Linked DNA regions of Arabidopsis thaliana. The protein of the gene in region 2 interacts with the protein of the main gene of each other region in a pairwise test. Each region holds a gene or a part of one and is shown on either strand. Other genes may lie near its edges. The genes, in order: GDU4, AT2G38510, AT5G42420 and CNGC13.

Region 1 (3,599 bases), 5.6 Mb from region 2:
TAACTCACGCACATATTTTCGAATATTACGAATGTAAGTTCATAGTTAATAGTAATACTATTTCCAGTTTATTCACTCGTTATATAACAAGTATAGTTAAACAAGTATAGTTAAAATTTGACGGTGAACTAGATGGAGTCTCAATTAATTTAAAATATCCAAGTTGATAGCAAATTCAGAACTATCCTATGGTAAATAAAATATATAAATGCAAGGAAAATATGAAAGTAACACAAATACATGGAGGAGACACAATTATAACAATTCATAATTAAAGTAACTAAACGAATCTCCTTACAAAATATAAAATGTGAGAATATATACGTAATACAAAAGGGTTAATGCATTACATTAGTTTCTGAAAATGTATATAAAATTACAGTTTGTGTACGGGATGAATCACGTTTCCATCGAAACATTGCAAGCTTTGAATTTATGATCAATAGTGTTATGATACTTTTTTTTTTTTTTTTGGGCAAACATAGTGTTATGATACTATGATTCATTTTTTTGTAGATCTTAGTGATGACATAAAATTGTAAGAATTTTAAGTACTATTATGTTATTCCGTTTTAGTTTACTCTATTACTGATTGGTATTAAAGCTGTATGAGAAAGGTTACCTATCACACTTTTGAGAATTACAAAAACTAAAAACGAGTTTTCCACCATTGGGGATAGGAAATTACAAGCAAACATTCATTAATCATAACCCAAAATTTTCTCTCAGTAAATTTTACATTTCCCGTGAAAACACGAAGGAAAATTCCCCAACAAAAAAAAAAAGACAAGACTGAGAGAAGAAAAGAAAACAAAAAAGCTCACTGACTCGTTGTTTCTTCATTTTCTTTGGCTTTCTCTCTGTCTCCCATTTTCTCCTCTCCAGCACCAATACCATCCTCCTTGAAAATTACCATTCTACCCTCGTGACCGCACATGCATTTGTTCGCCGCCGGCGTGGCCAGAAACCTCGGCAAGTCATCTCCGGCCATTATGACAAGAACCTTCTCCTCGCACGCCGCGCTAGCCGCCTTCACTCCAGACCGACTCTCTTTTTCCTCGTCGACTCTTTCGCCGGAGTCATCACCGGAGGTTGACAAGCGCCAGTAAGAGCAGGCTAGGATAAGTAAAGCGAAGGCTATGAGGCCTAACATCGCCGCAAGACCACCGAATAGGTACGGCACCGGTGAGTGCCACGGCGATATCGGCGGTCGGTGATTCCCAAATGATTCTACTGATGTGGCATGTCTAGCTACATCTAACGATGTTGGTTTAATGCTCAATGGCCTCATTTTTTTTATGTTTCTTCTGTTTCTCTCAGATTTTTTCTAACTATTTTGTTTTTTTTGTTTTTCTAACTTTATATAAAGGAAAAAGTGAAGAAAGCTGGAAAGATGAATGAAACAATGGGTGTGGTGAGGTGTTATATTTATAGGTAAGAAGTCCCTGGGGAAAAAGAAAGTGAGTCACTCCGAATATTTAATTATTTGAATTAAAGCAGCTTTTTTTTTCATTTGCCGTTTATTACTTTTTAGTTTTGCCGCATATATTTGCATGCAATATTATGTACTCAAACTTACTTTGTTATAGACACATATATATGTTAAGGTGCTTGTTTTTTTAAAGAAAGATAGCGAACATTAATTACACAAATTTAAACTAGACACGATAAATTAAATTTTAGTATCTTTAAGAAACTACACTAAAAAAAACTTGAAAAATGCCTACAAGAACTACCGCAGATTGGTTTAAAATTTTTGCTTAACGGTTGTTGAAAAATATATAAATGGTGATTTTTAAAATCAAAAAAAGGATATCAATCATAATATTTACCAATAAATTTGAAACCATATGAACTTTGACATCAATCAACTACACAAACTACAATAATTGGGTATTAGACTTATAAGTCTTATATCCAATAATATGTCAGTGATAGCATGATATCGAGAAAGTTTTTGGAAAGACAAGGGGTTTCCTCTTGATGACTCTAAGATACTTTAAGCCAAATAGATCAATTTAGATAGATGAATAGTTTGGTTTCTGGAAGTGACAGAGGAATGAGAGTGAGAGATGGATTCCAAGACCCCTTACTCTCAGTTCTAATTTATGGCACGATATCTATCTTCTTGTGAGGACACACTATGATGCCTAATGGGGATTTTATTTTTTTGGGATCCCGCAAATTGGGAATCCAACTTCTCTCTTTCTTTTTGGATGAAGAAATTTTCTATCTCTCAATTTTTCTATATCTAAAAGTATTATAAAGTCTATCACTTAATATTTGTCATGTTATAGGTTTTAAATGGTAACACATTCTCAAAGCGATATAACTTGTACTATTTTGAGAGTTATCATTCGCAAAAATTAACTTTATCAAAAACATTACAAAAAGTTTTACTCTTAACTTTACTGTACAGCTTTCTCGTATAATTCTTTTGTACAACTTTGCACTATTCCAAAAAAAGTTTTGGTTATAGCTAACAGCTAAAATTTTGTACAGTTTTGTGTTACCAATCGGACTTATATAAAATAAAATAATCTCGAGTAGTCCAAACACAATTTTCAACTTAACATATCACCAAACTTTGCTTGAATTCAATAATTCTCCTTTTTTTTTTGCAAAGTAAATTATTTAATGTTTTACAATAATAATGAATATTAAAATCTGCACCATAACACATGGCTTAAAAAAAATCATGACTTAATATCGGTAGAATATTGTTAGTCATTATTGTTTAGAAAAACATATTTAGGGCAATAAAGATTTGGAATTGTTAGTTATAAAAGACTAACAAATTCAAAAATTTATTACCCTAAATATATATTTTGAATTATTTTAATTATTACAAATAAATTGATTTGATATTAAAATATATATGTTTTTGATTAATTGTTATTAATTTAAGAAAGTTAATTTAGTAATTTTACATATTAAAAATATATTTTTAAAAGAAAAATAAAGAAAAAAAATTTCAAAAGTGCAAATAAAAGTCATATGTGGGATTTTTTTTTTTTTTTTTTTCCAATTGTTACTATCACACCAACTACCGTGCACCAGGTGCACTACCTCAATAATCCATAAAGCTGTCATCATATTAAAATGTAGTGATCAGGTGCAAATTTGTGCCCCAAATGTTATAAACTTTTTCTTTTCTTTTTGTTAAAAGAATTAAGTTTATATTTTTTCACAGGTTCCATTTTAAAGGACCATGTCTGTTTTTCAAACTAAATTCTTACAAATATATAAGAAAGCATATTTTGGAATCATCTATGTATTCACATTGCGAACTAAAGAAGAGAAAAACTTAATACTTATTTTCTGTTACCCTTGAAACATAGGCGTTTATACCATTAAAATGGCAGAAAAATTATATCGACTAATGAAATTAAACTAGTTAAATGAAGTCCAGTTAACTAATCGAAGTTACCGAACATAAAGGGTTCTTATTTTTGTCAAAAACATAAAGAGTTCAAACCTTCAAATTTATAGCGTAGTTTTCTCTCGGTCCATTTTTTAGTCAAGAAAACTTTTGATCCAACTACAAAAATTTACTTTTAAAGAAATTATTTATCGAAAACATTAACTCAGTAATAAAC
Region 2 (3,732 bases):
ACTTGGCGGCTCCACATTATGTAATTGGAGGCCGTAAGTTTTGTCACATTCGACATGTTCATGTGAACAATGGAGGTGTTGTTGAGGTTGACGGTTTCAGAAGAAACATTCGACATGGTTGAAGTTTGAAAAACAGAGGAATAAAAAAATCAACGGGGGAGAAGAAGAAAGAAAGGAGAGAGGCGGCTGTTTTTAGGTTTTTTATTTTTAGGTATCGATGATGCTCTGATACCATATAAAGAATATAGAATTGGATGATTTGTATTGAGATGATTTACATTGTTTATATACAGACTAGATGTTCTAGAGACTTCTAATTACAGAATATATAGTTTACATAAGTAGAATTGTGATTGATCTTGATTGATCCTTGATAGATTCGTCACAACTGTTCTCACTACATACTTCTGCGTGTTAGAAAAAGCTAAGCTCAACCAATTAAATGGCTGAGTCTTTTCACAAAATCTTAGTTAACAGTTCGGACACAAATCTATCTTCGGTATTTTTAGTTTGCCAAAAAAAAAAAGTTTCCTATATCATTAACAATCCGTTAAAAATTGTCGATTGATAATTTTAACATTTCTAGCTAAACTAGTCAATTCGTATTTTGTAGTAAACCAATCTCCAGATCATTGCTACTCACATCATCATCGTCTTGTACTTCAGCATGGACGGTTTCGTCTTCCGAATGGCTTTTGTCGGCTGCAGCGGAGGTAAGTTCCTCTGCCCGCTTCACTTGATGAGACCAGTCCGTACGGATTAACGTATAAAGCATCATTACCAAACACGTCATCTGCGCAGATAACAGTCCAAACCATAGCCCACGAAACCCAACCTTAAACCCAAACGTGGTCGTAACTGCCACAGGCAAGCCCACAATGTAGAATGCGCATAGGTTAACGCGTGCTCCATCTTTAGGCCTAGCCGTCCCAGTCAAGACTCCGCAAGCAGCCGTCTGTGGCGAGTTTCCAATCTCGCAAAGCCCCAAGATCGGAAGCGCAGCCGAAATAAGCCCGAGAATCTCCGGTTCGTCCGTGAACATCTTTCCCCAAACCGACCTAAGCGCGGTCACAAAAACAGCAGCTGCTAAACCGTACGCTACCGCGAGTATCAAGCCAATCACGGTCGTACATTGTGCCCGTGTTGGTTGGCCGCCTCCAAGAGCGTGACCTACACGGGTTGCAATGGCGCTGCTAATAGCAAACGGGACTACGTATAGTATCCCGGTGGTCTGAATCAATATTCCCATGGCGGCCACGCTTGCTTTAGGGTTCCCAAGAAGCCCACAAAGAAAAAGCATGATCTCATACCACCAATACTCCAAACACACCGAGATAGCGCTTGGTGCGGCTAGAGAAAGCAGCGGCCACCAGCCGCGGAAAAGTGACCGCAAAGCGAGCCCTTCCCACGGTTTGATTAGAGAATCCGAGAAGCACGTATAAACGAGCAGTCCCACGTCGATATTCATAGTGTTGAAAGCCATTGCGATGGCCACACCCTTAACGCCTAAACGCATACGCACGACAAAGACGTAGTTGAAGAGAGGATGAAGAAGAATGGATACAATGGCAGATATCGTGAGCGGTGATGTTAAGCCTTGCGTTCTAAGGAACGTTCGAAGCGGATGGAGCATGGCCTGAGCCAAGAGCTCAGGGACGAAGAAGAGCATATAGGTTTTGGCTACCTTGGTAATATCTGGGTCCTGACCCAACCGTAGGAAAATGGGTTCGATGTTGAGCCACGTAACGGCGATTGGAACAGAGACGACAATTAAGAGACAGAACATTTTCTGAAACGTGTGGCTAAGTACGGTCCAACGTTTGGCTCCGAAGGCTTGGCCACAGATTGGGTCCATACCAACGGAAAGGCCTTTAAGTACGGAGACTCCAGTGATGTTTCCAAAGCCCATAGCGAGTGCACCACCAGCGAGTTCGACTTTTCCGAGATGACTCAAGAACCACATTGAGATTATTGATCTTGAGAATATGAGGAGTGATGTCATCACAATCGGGCAAGCTATTTTTGTGAGTGACGCCATCTCCTCTCCCACCTGCATGGGAAAAATAAAATTAAAAAATTATGTTATTTTTGTTAGGTTTTTCAATTGAACAACTCTTTATTTTTTCACATGTTCTATAGGCTTCTAGTTCTAGCAAAACGCACTCGAGAAGATATTAGTGTATAGAAAGAGCGCAACACGAGTATGTTGTATATTAAAAAAAAAAAAATTATCCTCAAAATATGATTTAGTCTTTAATATCCTTTTTTAATCATGTTTAATATTTTGTACGTGATTTAATTTCGTTTAATTAACGATATTGCACTCACTAAAAATATTAAATTTTCTGGTATATCATTTATTAATATTTTTATCACAATAAACAAACAAATTTCTTTTCTAATAAGTTGTATGAAAATGGTATTTATATGAGCTTTTTATACATGAGTTATTAAAAAAATCATTGTACCTTAATTGTTTCTTTTTGTCAAATAAAATCTTAAATTAATTTTATTGTGAAACAGAAGGACATTACATTACAATACGGAAAATGATATTTTATCATATTATAAAATTAAGAACAATTTGTAAGCACGAGGAAGATGGTCGCATCACATGGCCACTGGGACTGGGATGAGAAAGTTGAAAAAGGAAGAGAAAAAGGTTTAAACTCTATAACTTTTAGAACTGAATATATAATCAAATTCACAAGTGCCAGAAAAGCGAATGGCTAACTGTACCAACATTCTAGGATCTTTTTAAATAAAAATCATCATGGGTTTTTAAAAGCTCACCTTTTTTGTTTTCTTTTTGAAAAAACAAAATCAGCTTAGATATTACCTTTCATTTCATGATATCTTCATTAAGAATATCCACATTTTAAAAACATATAAAAAATATTTTACGCATAGATACTTGTAAAAGTATCATGAACTACTATTGACATTTCATAAACAATCGGATAAGGATTTCAAGAAAATAAATCGGAAAGTAACTAGATTATATTTGTACTAAGTAAAGAAACTGATAAAAAGAATAGAGTGAGAGGAAACCTATATAGAACACTTTCCTAAGTAAGTACAACCCAACTGTCAAGAAATATAAAGTAAGTACAACACAAAAAGCATCTCTTTCAGTCCATGAAAGTGAGGATTTATCATACTAGTAGTAAGTAGTAACGCTTTAGGCATAAATATGAACATATATACACATATATATATATATATATATATACAGAGAAAACTTATATATAAATGAATTTTCAACATTGTATTTCTCAAGTACGTGAAAGATAGATGAAGCATTATTCATGCTATGTTTTTAAAAGGGATGCATTATATTCGGTTAAAATGCTATAAAAACAGTCAAAAGAAGCATTCAATCCAGTATAAGATCAATTTCCAAGAACTACATATTATTTACCAGACCCAAAAAATACTGCGAAAGTGACTGAAAACAATATAATAATCCATCAAAAATCACCAAATTCTCTGGTTAAACGTAGCAAACGTCTCTATATTAGGATGGTCCTGATCACGAAAACTAGTAGTACAAACAAAAACACAAGAAAACTATGAAATCAAAGAATAAGCAGAGTGATGACTTGTCAAAGCTAATTGGAATTTTTTTGTTGAAGAAAATGTAAGAACAAGAAAAGAGAAATTAAAGAAAAAGAAACAAGCCTCATTGAAAGGGATGCGACGGAGACCAGCAGAGAATTTGGCGCTGCCGCT
Region 3 (4,120 bases), on a different chromosome or scaffold from region 2:
AACATATCATATGAAACTTAGCAGGTTACAATCTAAAAATAATAATAAGAGACAAATAATTAATCAAAAGATTACATGCCCAAGTTCTTACTTCCTCTTTCTAAAACACAAGGCCTCTTAGAGTACTCACAACAAAAGTCGAAGATAATGTTTTCTTATGTTCACCAAAAAACTTACAAAACTAACTCTCGAGAAAATCTAAATTTTCTTTTGAAGTGTGGTTTATATATGTATATATATTTTTATATTTTTTTGGAAAAGATTAATAATATTTAATCAGTATAGAAGTTCTGCTTAGACTCATTAATATTTAATATGTTAACTCATTATAAGTTTACAACTCAACTCATTGAATTGATGAAACCATTTGATCTAATAACTCATTTGGTTGTAAGCTTCTATAGTTATTCTTATATAAGTCTGAAAAAATATTATAGTTGTATTTTTGGATATCTAAGGAATTAAGAAAATTGATAATGTCTCACCTCTACGATAATTCCTTTTCATCTTTCCGTTTTGTTTTTGTATTATCGATTTATGTTCTTTAATTATTATTATTTTAAAAAAACTTCTCCAGTCATCTTTTTATTTATCAGTTACATTATCGTAAATATTCATGCTTCTTACATGAAAAAACGAAATATTTTAATGTGATCTCCACTAGTTCATGAAGAAAATGCAAAGTTATGACTTACTTTTATGGATTGGCTGCTTAAACAAAAAGTTACCAACAGACTTTGACTTTGACTTTGCGTAATGCAAAAATAACGGCAGCATGAAAAGAGGTTCCCTTCGCCTCATAATCTGCCTAAGTTACTGGTCAACAAGCACTACTATATATTTGTGTCATTTTCTTTTATTTGTGTTGTTTTTTATATATAGTAAATTATAAACATATTAATTATTCCTACTTTCCTTAGAAATGATGCATGGTGAAAAATTTAAAAATATTCATATACAAAAAAGAGAGGGAAAATAATATTATCAGTTCGATAAATATGTATTGGTTTTTATGAAAATAATAGTTTTATTCAAAATATTAGCTAAAAAGTACTCTCACACAGTTGGTTTGTTTCATAGTTATAGAATTTATTATGTGACACAAAAAGTTCAAAGAATATTAAAAATATTTGGAAATTATGCAAATAAACAAATATTTGTAATTATATTATTTACATAACACAATCTTATGATATTTATTTTAGAATATGTTTACATTATTTTATCCATATATATGTGTCAAATACGATATCATTTTTGGACATTTACATTTGTTGTAAATTAAATTGTATAGAGTTAATAAAAAAAATCAACAGATAATTTTGATTAAGGTTTGTGAATAATTTAGTCAATTCAATGCAAAATTCAAGATTTATTTGTCTAATCCACTAATTGAGAGTTTCTTTAGTCATAAATAAATAAATTGAAAATCTTCAAATCACGAAATATTTTTTAAAGATTTAATTTACAGAAAATCTCAAATCTCATTACAAAAAATCGTTAAAATCAAAATTTGCAACAACTAAAAAAATTCGATTATCAATTTTGTCATAATACTCATCTACAACTTTTGTCACTACATAATCAATTATTTTCTTGTCCAAAAAAAAAACATAATCAATGATTTTCTTAATGTAATTGTAATGATGAATTTTGATGCGGGTAAAGTAAAAACTAAATCTACTTACACAACTTCCTTTTTAAAAGTATTTATTTCAGATTTGAGATTTGTCAGATATTTTTCTCAACGTGAAAGAGAGAAAAGAGAATCTCTCAGAAGGTGAGCCTCCAACAAAGCGTGAATCTCTCTTTCTCTCTCTATCTCTCTATCTCCGAGATCGCATCACCGGAAATCTCCTTCTACGGTGGTGGTGGTGACAGTTGACCAGAGATGGCGGCGGAGAATGAGAGAAAATCTCCTTCAGCAGTCTCCGATATGGGAGCTTGGGCAATGAATGTGATAAGCTCCGTTGGAATCATCATGGCGAATAAACAACTTATGTCCTCTTCTGGATTCGCATTTAGTTTCGGTTCGTCTTCTTCCTCCGATCTCTCACTCTTTTTAATCAATTTCGCTTTTGAGATCTGATGATTTTTCCGATCTCTGTTTTCTCAGCTACAACTCTCACCGGTTTCCACTTCGCTTTAACCGCATTGGTCGGTATGGTATCAAACGCTACCGGATTCTCTGCTTCGAAGCATGTACCTATGTGGGAGCTTATTTGGTTCTCCATTGTCGCTAATGTCTCTATTGCTGCTATGAACTTCAGTCTCATGCTCAATTCCGTTGGCTTCTACCAAGTAATTCATCTCGATCTCGATCTTGAGCATATAGAATCAAATTGCTTTGATTTGAGCATATATAGACTTTGATTTTGGTTTAGTGGATTCACATTTTTTTGTGTTGATTAGATCTCGAAGCTGAGCATGATTCCTGTGGTATGTGTAATGGAATGGATTCTACATAGCAAGAGATACTCAAGAGAAGTGAAAATATCTGTTGTGGTTGTTGTTGTTGGTGTTGGTATTTGTACTGTGACTGATGTTAAAGTTAATGCCAAAGGTTTTATCTGTGCTTGTGTTGCGATTTTCTCGTCATCCTTGCAGCAAATTGTAAGTCTTTTTGTTTGGTGATTTGGTTTTGAAGCTTGTGGAATTCAAATCTGATCAATTGGTGTTTTTTCCTTCTGTGTTGCTTAGTTAATAGGTTCTCTACAGAAGAAATATTCAATTGGGTCCTTTGAGTTGTTGAGTAAAACAGCGCCGATTCAAGCTTTTTCGCTTCTTGTTGTCGGTCCTTTAGTTGATTATCTTCTTAGTGGGAAGTTCATTATGAAGTATAATATGTCTTCCGGTTGCTTTGTAAGTATCTCTCTTCATGGCTCTGCTAGTATTGTTATGTTATCATTGGCTAATGTTCTACAATTTGCAGCTATTCATTCTTCTCTCATGTGGTCTAGCTGTGTTCTGCAACATAAGCCAGTACCTTTGCATCGGGCGGTTTTCAGCAGTATCGTTCCAAGTTATTGGTCACATGAAAACCGTCTGTATCCTCACGCTTGGATGGCTCCTATTTGATTCTGCAATGACTTTCAAAAACGTAGCGGGGATGATTGTTGCGATTGTTGGGATGGTAATCTATAGTTGGGCAATGGAATTGGAGAAACAGTCGATTATTGCAGCAAAGGCTTTAAACAGTGTGAAACATAGCTTAACAGAGGAAGAGTTTGAACTTTTGAAGGAAGGTGTAGAAACTACACAATCAAAAGATGTTGAACTTGGCCGCACAAAAGATTAGAGACAGATGGATAGAGAAAGAAACATAGTCTTCAGGTACAATTTGTTCTGTTATAATTTTTGTATGTTTTGTGTTATCTAAACCAAGAGATCGGATCCTCGGAGATTAGTGTCTAGGCTTCGATCTAAAGTTTCCTTGGTTATACAAATGTTTTGTGTTATTTATATCTTTTTACCCAATTCCATGGAAATAACTTCAATGACCACATGTTCTTGTTTTACGTAGCACTCAAAGAGTATATTCCTTTATTTATCTTATAGAATATGACATCAAATGTAGAGTATATTCCATTTGATAAAACATTCATATGGATAGTGAAAACAAGAATACTGGAGAAGACTTAAAAGAACTTCTGATAAAAACATTCATATGCTCCCAAGTAATGTGAAAATTGTAAATGAGAAGGGGAAAAATGTTATTTAATACCTGAACTTTCAAAAAGTGGCCAAATTAACCGTGAATTTTTGAAATGGCCGTTTTATACCTCAACAAAAAGTTGACTTCTAATTTAACCTATAAGTTATCGTTGACCCGGCCAAATCGACTCACCATTAACACTTCTTAACAGCTCTCCTAACAGCGTAACTAACAACTGTTTTTGTCCTTAAACCAACAATAACGGCTGTTAGGCCATGTTTTGTAACGGCTGTTAGGAGCGCTGTTAAGGAGTGTTAACGGTGAGTCTATTTGGCCGGGTCAACGACAAATTATAGGTTAAATTAGAAGTCAACGATAAATTATAGGTTAAATTAGAAGTCAACTTTTTGTTGAGGTATAAAACGACCATTTCAAGAGTTCACGGTTAATTTGGCCATTTTTTGA
Region 4 (5,886 bases), on a different chromosome or scaffold from region 2:
CCCTTGAAGACGATAATCCCAAAGAGCCACAACGGCAGAACGCGCATCGACCCACTGACGAAAACTGAAGCTTGCAGCGATACAACCAAATTGAGGCACGTGAACTGATTCCTCCGGAATTTCGCAAAGCAAAGCGATACTCTCGATCTCTTGCTTCTTAGACAGCTTTGTGTCACTGTTAGCGGCGGCGGGGTGAAGCAGCTGAACGATGAAATTAGGCCTAGCCCGCGTGACTGGAGGAGAGAATCCCGACGACGGAGCACGATCACGTCTGTAATTTGGCGGGAAATTAGTGTTATGGTACTGAGAGTGTTGCTGGTTCCAAGTAGTACAGTGGTTGAGCGGCGGAGAAGATTGTGCAGAGCGAGAGTTATAACGGTTCGTTGAGGATGAGGGAAACGACTGCTGACGACGATCAGTCGTCGATCTCCCACCGTCTGAAGGAGGAAAAGAGTTCCTCATGATGAGATGATGCCAGTTTTTTTTCTTGTTAAGAATGAGAGAGCGAAAGAGAAAGAGTCAGAAGTTGAAAAGAGTCACAGAAGAGTCAGAGAGTTATATCAATCAATATTAAAACCCTATTAAAATTTATTTAACTTTTCGTCTACTCTTTCCTTTTTCTTTAACCTAATTTAATTTTCTTCTAATCAATATTAAAACCCATTTTGTTACTATCAATTCTTTAATTATTGGTTCGACCTATAGAAACATCCAGAAATCCAAATTTGAGGATAAAAGTGTTAAAGTAACATTTCTTAGTATTTCAATTTTATGTTTTTACCACATTTTAAAATTTAAGTTAGAAATAGTGTATCTACCAATGATATTGCCATATACGTATTAAAATGTACATATCATCAAAAGTAAATATGAAATCTTAAAGGTATTAAATAGTTAACTCATATTCTTGTAAAGTTTAATATTTGTATACCATTTAGATTTTATTCAAAGCATTGAATTTTATTAATAATTAGTTAGTAGTTTCAAAAACTATTTTAAAATCCCTACAAAAAAAAAACTATTTTCAAATCCCTACAAAAAAAAATACTATTTCAAAATAAAAGAAAATAGAAAATATTGAAAGCAGAAAATATAGAAAGGTGTTAACAAAATTATATAAAAGAAAAAACAAACAGAAAGTGTTACATGTTTTATATAAAAAACAATTTGGTTAAAAATTTCAATAACCTCATATCATTTTTTCTCATCTGCTTAATTAATGATATTCAAATGAGTTATTTTCAAAAAATATTGCTTATATAAGTGATGATATGATGCGGTTCGCTACAAATTTTTCGTGCCAATAAAAATTTCATATATTTTTCTACATTTTTTGTCAACATCATATATTATTATTTCCTAATTTTATTAGAACTCTCGTCTTTAAAAAGTTTTAAAAGCGTCATTTATCGTTCTTTTATCTACAAAAAAAAACAAGATTTCATGAGTCAGACAAGACAAAAGCCATAAACAACACAAAAGTCCTGCAAGATTGCTCACTTGGGCGGTTGGGCCTATATGAAAATTTACTATCTCAAAATTTAACTAAGAGCCCATAAAAACTGTAAGATCTTTGCTTTAAATCACATTGTCTTCATAGATTTTGTGATTCATGGTAGATTTGTGAAGATCTTTGGTCATCTTTTTGTTTACATTTGGCTTATTGAGTGTAGAGTGTGAACAATCTGCTATGAAGTTGGTAAAATTCTTTGGATCCAAACCTTTAAATCGTAGCATATTTACTATTTCACACTGCTAGGATCTGTTTATAGCTGATGCATTACTGGAATCTATGATGTTTACTGTGTTGGTCTGATATATAACAAGTTCTGAATTTTAAAATCAAATTCAATATCGAATTGGGCTTTTAATTAAGGTTAGGCCCATCAAATGTTTTTGACTCTTTAATAATTCCCTCTCTTTTGTCTTTTATTGTAAAATGCACACAATTTCGAAGAAACTGCCAATGGAGTCTCCATTTTCCAGCGCCATGCCAAGCTTGACTCTACGATGATAGCTTATTTGACTGCTTCAAAAAAAAACTTCAGAGAATTAATTTCGAGAATTTTCCCAATTTCAGATCATCGGAAAATTCTTACTATAATCTTTCTTATATCGCTTCTCTCAGTTACTTCAACGTTCTGGTCAGTTTCGGATATAAATGTTTTAATTTCTTAGTTTCCGTTTCTTCTTCTTCTTCTTTTTTTTTTTTTTCTGTTACTGTAAACTTGGGGATAACGAATTAAAGCGATCAAATCGATGTTCTTATGATTCAGGATCCGTTATAGCAAAAAAAGCTTGACTCATGGCTTTTGGCCGCAACAATCGTGTAAGGTTGTTGTTTGCTTGCTTTCTTTAATCTCTGTCTTTTTTTTTTTTTAGAATGAATTTACTGAGAAACTATGGATATGAATGATTCTCAGAAAAAATATTCTTTTTTGTTGATGATTTTTTGTTTAGGTTCAGAGATTGGATTTCAGAGGGAACAGAGTATGGTTACGGAAGAAATAAAGCTAGACCATCTCTAAACACAGTTTTGAAGAATGTTCGTAGAGGACTTAAGAAACCTTTAAGTTTTGGTTCACATAATAAGAAGAGAGATTCTAATTCTAGTACCACTACACAGAAGAATATTATAAACCCACAAGGATCTTTTTTACAGAACTGGAACAAAATCTTTCTTTTTGCTTCAGTGATTGCTTTGGCTATTGATCCATTGTTTTTCTATATTCCTATTGTTGATGGAGAAAGACACTGTCTTAATTTGCATCGTAACTTGGAGATAGCAGCTAGTGTGCTTCGCACGTTTATAGATGCTTTCTACATCATTCACATTGTGTTTCAGTTTAGAACTGCTTATATCTCTCCTTCTTCTCGTGTTTTCGGAAGAGGCGAGTTGGTTGATGATCCTAAAGCTATAGCCATCAAGTACCTCTCCTCCTACTTCATCATCGATCTTCTTTCTATCCTTCCACTCCCACAGGTAACCTTTAGTTCCTAATGGTTTTATAGTTCCTTCTTGATGGTTCTTTAATATTCTGTTGTATCTGCTGCAGCTTGTAGTCTTAGCTGTCATCCCCAATGTCAACAAGCCGGTCTCTTTGATCACTAAGGACTATTTGATAACTGTCATATTTACTCAATACATTCCAAGGATTCTTCGTATCTATCCACTTTACACTGAAGTTACAAGAACATCTGGCATAGTTACTGAAACCGCTTGGGCTGGAGCTGCTTGGAACCTATCTCTCTATATGTTAGCCAGTCATGTGTTTGGAGCCTTATGGTACTTAATATCAGTAGAACGAGAAGACAGATGCTGGCGTGAAGCTTGTGAGAAGATACCAGAAGTGTGTAACTTTAGATTTCTCTACTGCGATGGAAACAGTAGTGTTAGAAACGATTTCCTGACTACCTCGTGCCCGTTTATCAACCCTGATGATATAACAAATTCAACTGTCTTCAACTTTGGTATCTTTACTGATGCTTTAAAGAGTGGGATTGTTGAATCAGATGATTTCTGGAAGAAGTTCTTCTACTGCTTCTGGTGGGGTTTGCGTAATTTAAGGTTTGTAACACTCTCTCTATCTAGTTATTAGTAATTTAGGATTCATGTGACACACTTGATGGCTGGCTAAGATATGTTGAGCATGAAACACTAATCTGATCACTTGCTGTTTCTCACTCGCTGCAGTGCATTGGGACAAAATCTCAATACAAGCAAATTCGTTGGGGAAATCATATTTGCTGTATCAATTTGTATATCTGGACTAGTCTTATTCGCACTACTTATCGGCAATATGCAGGTATATATTCATTTCACTGCCTTTTTTCCATCACTTACTTGATCCCCAAGGAAGATAAAACACTACTGATGTTTCCACTTTCCATAACAGAAATACTTGGAATCAACTACAGTGAGGGAAGAGGAGATGAGAGTGAGAAAAAGAGATGCAGAGCAATGGATGTCTCATCGAATGTTACCCGATGACTTGAGGAAACGTATCAGAAGGTATGAGCAGTACAAATGGCAGGAAACTAGAGGAGTAGAAGAAGAAAACCTTCTGCGTAATCTCCCTAAAGACCTCAGGAGAGACATCAAACGCCATTTCTGCCTCGATCTTCTCAAGAAAGTAAGTGCTTCTAGTTCCACCTTATCTCTTTGATCCTCAAATTTGACATTTCATTCAAATAATCATTGATCGAATCAAATATATATAGGTACCTCTGTTCGAGATAATGGATGAGCAATTGCTAGATGCCGTGTGTGACAAGCTAAAACCAGTGCTCTACACCGAGAACAGCTATGCAATTCGAGAAGGAGATCCAGTGGAAGAGATGTTGTTTGTCATGAGAGGAAAACTGATGAGCGCCACCACAAACGGTGGCCGGACCGGCTTCTTTAACGCCGTATACCTAAAACCTAGTGACTTTTGCGGCGAAGATCTTCTCACATGGGCATTAGATCCTCAATCTTCGTCTCATTTTCCGATATCGACTAGAACAGTTCAAGCTTTAACCGAAGTAGAAGCCTTTGCTCTTGCAGCAGATGATCTCAAGCTTGTTGCTTCACAGTTCAGACGACTACATAGCAAACAGCTTCAACATACTTTCAGGTTTGTTTGGTCTCTTTTGACTGATCTCTCTGCTTCTCCAATCTCCGGTTCTGTTTGGTTTAATTCGGTTTAACTGTCAGGTTTTATTCGGTTCAATGGAGAACTTGGGGTGCGTCTTTCATACAAGCGGCGTGGCGGAGACATTGCCGGAGGAAACTAGCTAGATCATTAACCGAAGAAGAAGATCGATTCCGAAACGCGATCACAAAACGCGAACGCAATGCGGCGTCTTCGTCTAGCCTGGTTGCAACGTTATACGCGTCGCGGTTTGCTTCAAACGCGCTTCGCAATCTGCGTACAAACAACCTACCTTTGCTACCTCCTAAACCCTCCGAGCCTGATTTCAGTCTCCGAAACCCTTAAAATATCTCTTACACATGTCCACTTACCACTTGTATATAATATTGTGTCAACGACATTAAAGCTTAAACTAATTACAAAAATTTAGTGACCCTATTTTATAGGCACGATGCTCCAATGGTCACTTTTAAAATAGAGTTTCCTCAAAAATAGGAAAAAAATAGAGACTAAATGTAGAGATCTTTATTTATAGAGATGATATCTCCTCTATTTTAAAGAAAATTCTATTTTACATGTGACCATTGGAGCAGCCTCTAAAATAGAGTCATATCTATAAATAAAGGAAAATATAGAGATCACTATTGAAGATACCTTTATAAAAATAAAACATGGTTATATATATGAATTTGATAACTTTAGGTAACCTTAATTTTTTTTTTAGTTTTAAAAGCTTTGGAGTAAATATAACAAATTTATTTAAAAATTGTTTTTTCATGTGTGTGTTTTGACCAAAAAAAAACAAATAACATGTTTAACCAATAACATACAATTTATCATGTTATTTTATCTAAGAGTAATTTTTCCATATATATATATTTATTATAAGATTCAATTGTAGATAATTTTTACTTAATAATACATCATTTACCATATCATATATAGATATTAGTTTGGTCAAATTGTACAAAAAAAATCGATTTCTCCTGACCGACATAGATTCAGACAATATAAAGCCCAGTCATAAACCCAAAAGTGTGGATAAGATAATAATCTTAGCCCAACAAGCAGCGAGAGAGAGAGAGACTTATTATTAGGGCTCCGTCAAATTTCCCCAATTTCTCTCTGATTCCTCTCTAGAAATCGAACTTCTTCTTCTTCGTCCAAGCTTTTGAATCGAAAATCGATGGCGGATCAGAGTTCTAAGCCGTTGCAGTTTTTCGTGAGACTACTCGACGGAAAATCATTAACC

The links.
Region 1: the proteins of AT2G38510 (region 2) and GDU4 interact in a protein complementation assay, tested with the Arabidopsis thaliana proteins (one large-scale study listed by BioGRID).
Region 3: the proteins of AT2G38510 (region 2) and AT5G42420 interact in a protein complementation assay, tested with the Arabidopsis thaliana proteins (one large-scale study listed by BioGRID).
Region 4: the proteins of AT2G38510 (region 2) and CNGC13 interact in a protein complementation assay, tested with the Arabidopsis thaliana proteins (one large-scale study listed by BioGRID).

The regions. Positions count from the first base shown.
Region 1 is NC_003071.7:10,557,171-10,560,769, reverse strand, and holds GDU4 (glutamine dumper 4), read right to left. Parts: upstream 1,598-3,599; 5' UTR 1,292-1,597; coding exon 821-1,291; 3' UTR 531-820; downstream 1-530. UniProt on the Arabidopsis thaliana protein: Probable subunit of an amino acid transporter involved in the regulation of the amino acid metabolism. Stimulates amino acid export by activating nonselective amino acid facilitators.
Region 2 is NC_003071.7:16,122,309-16,126,040, reverse strand, and holds AT2G38510 (MATE efflux family protein), read right to left. Parts: upstream 2,057-3,732; coding exon 596-2,056; 3' UTR 506-595; downstream 1-505.
Region 3 is NC_003076.8:16,966,928-16,971,047, forward strand, and holds AT5G42420 (Nucleotide-sugar transporter family protein), read left to right. Parts: upstream 1-1,727; 5' UTR 1,728-1,891; coding exon 1,892-2,030; intron 2,031-2,116; coding exon 2,117-2,301; intron 2,302-2,412; coding exon 2,413-2,613; intron 2,614-2,700; coding exon 2,701-2,862; intron 2,863-2,932; coding exon 2,933-3,298; 3' UTR 3,299-3,600; downstream 3,601-4,120. UniProt on the Arabidopsis thaliana protein: Nucleotide-sugar transporter that transports UDP-rhamnose or UDP-galactose and UMP in a strict counter-exchange mode.
Region 4 is NC_003075.7:433,662-439,547, reverse strand, and holds CNGC13 (cyclic nucleotide-gated channel 13), read left to right. Parts: upstream 1-1,956; 5' UTR 1,957-2,144; exon of another isoform or gene 2,145-2,276; 5' UTR 2,277-2,305; coding exon 2,306-2,334; intron 2,335-2,460; coding exon 2,461-2,983; intron 2,984-3,056; coding exon 3,057-3,568; intron 3,569-3,694; coding exon 3,695-3,806; intron 3,807-3,896; coding exon 3,897-4,133; intron 4,134-4,221; coding exon 4,222-4,616; intron 4,617-4,696; coding exon 4,697-4,979; 3' UTR 4,980-5,331; downstream 5,332-5,886. Other genes in the region: AT4G01020 (helicase domain-containing protein / IBR domain-containing protein / zinc finger protein-like protein), read right to left, coding at 1-462; AT4G01000 (Ubiquitin-like superfamily protein), read left to right, coding at 5,821-5,886. UniProt on the Arabidopsis thaliana protein: Putative cyclic nucleotide-gated ion channel.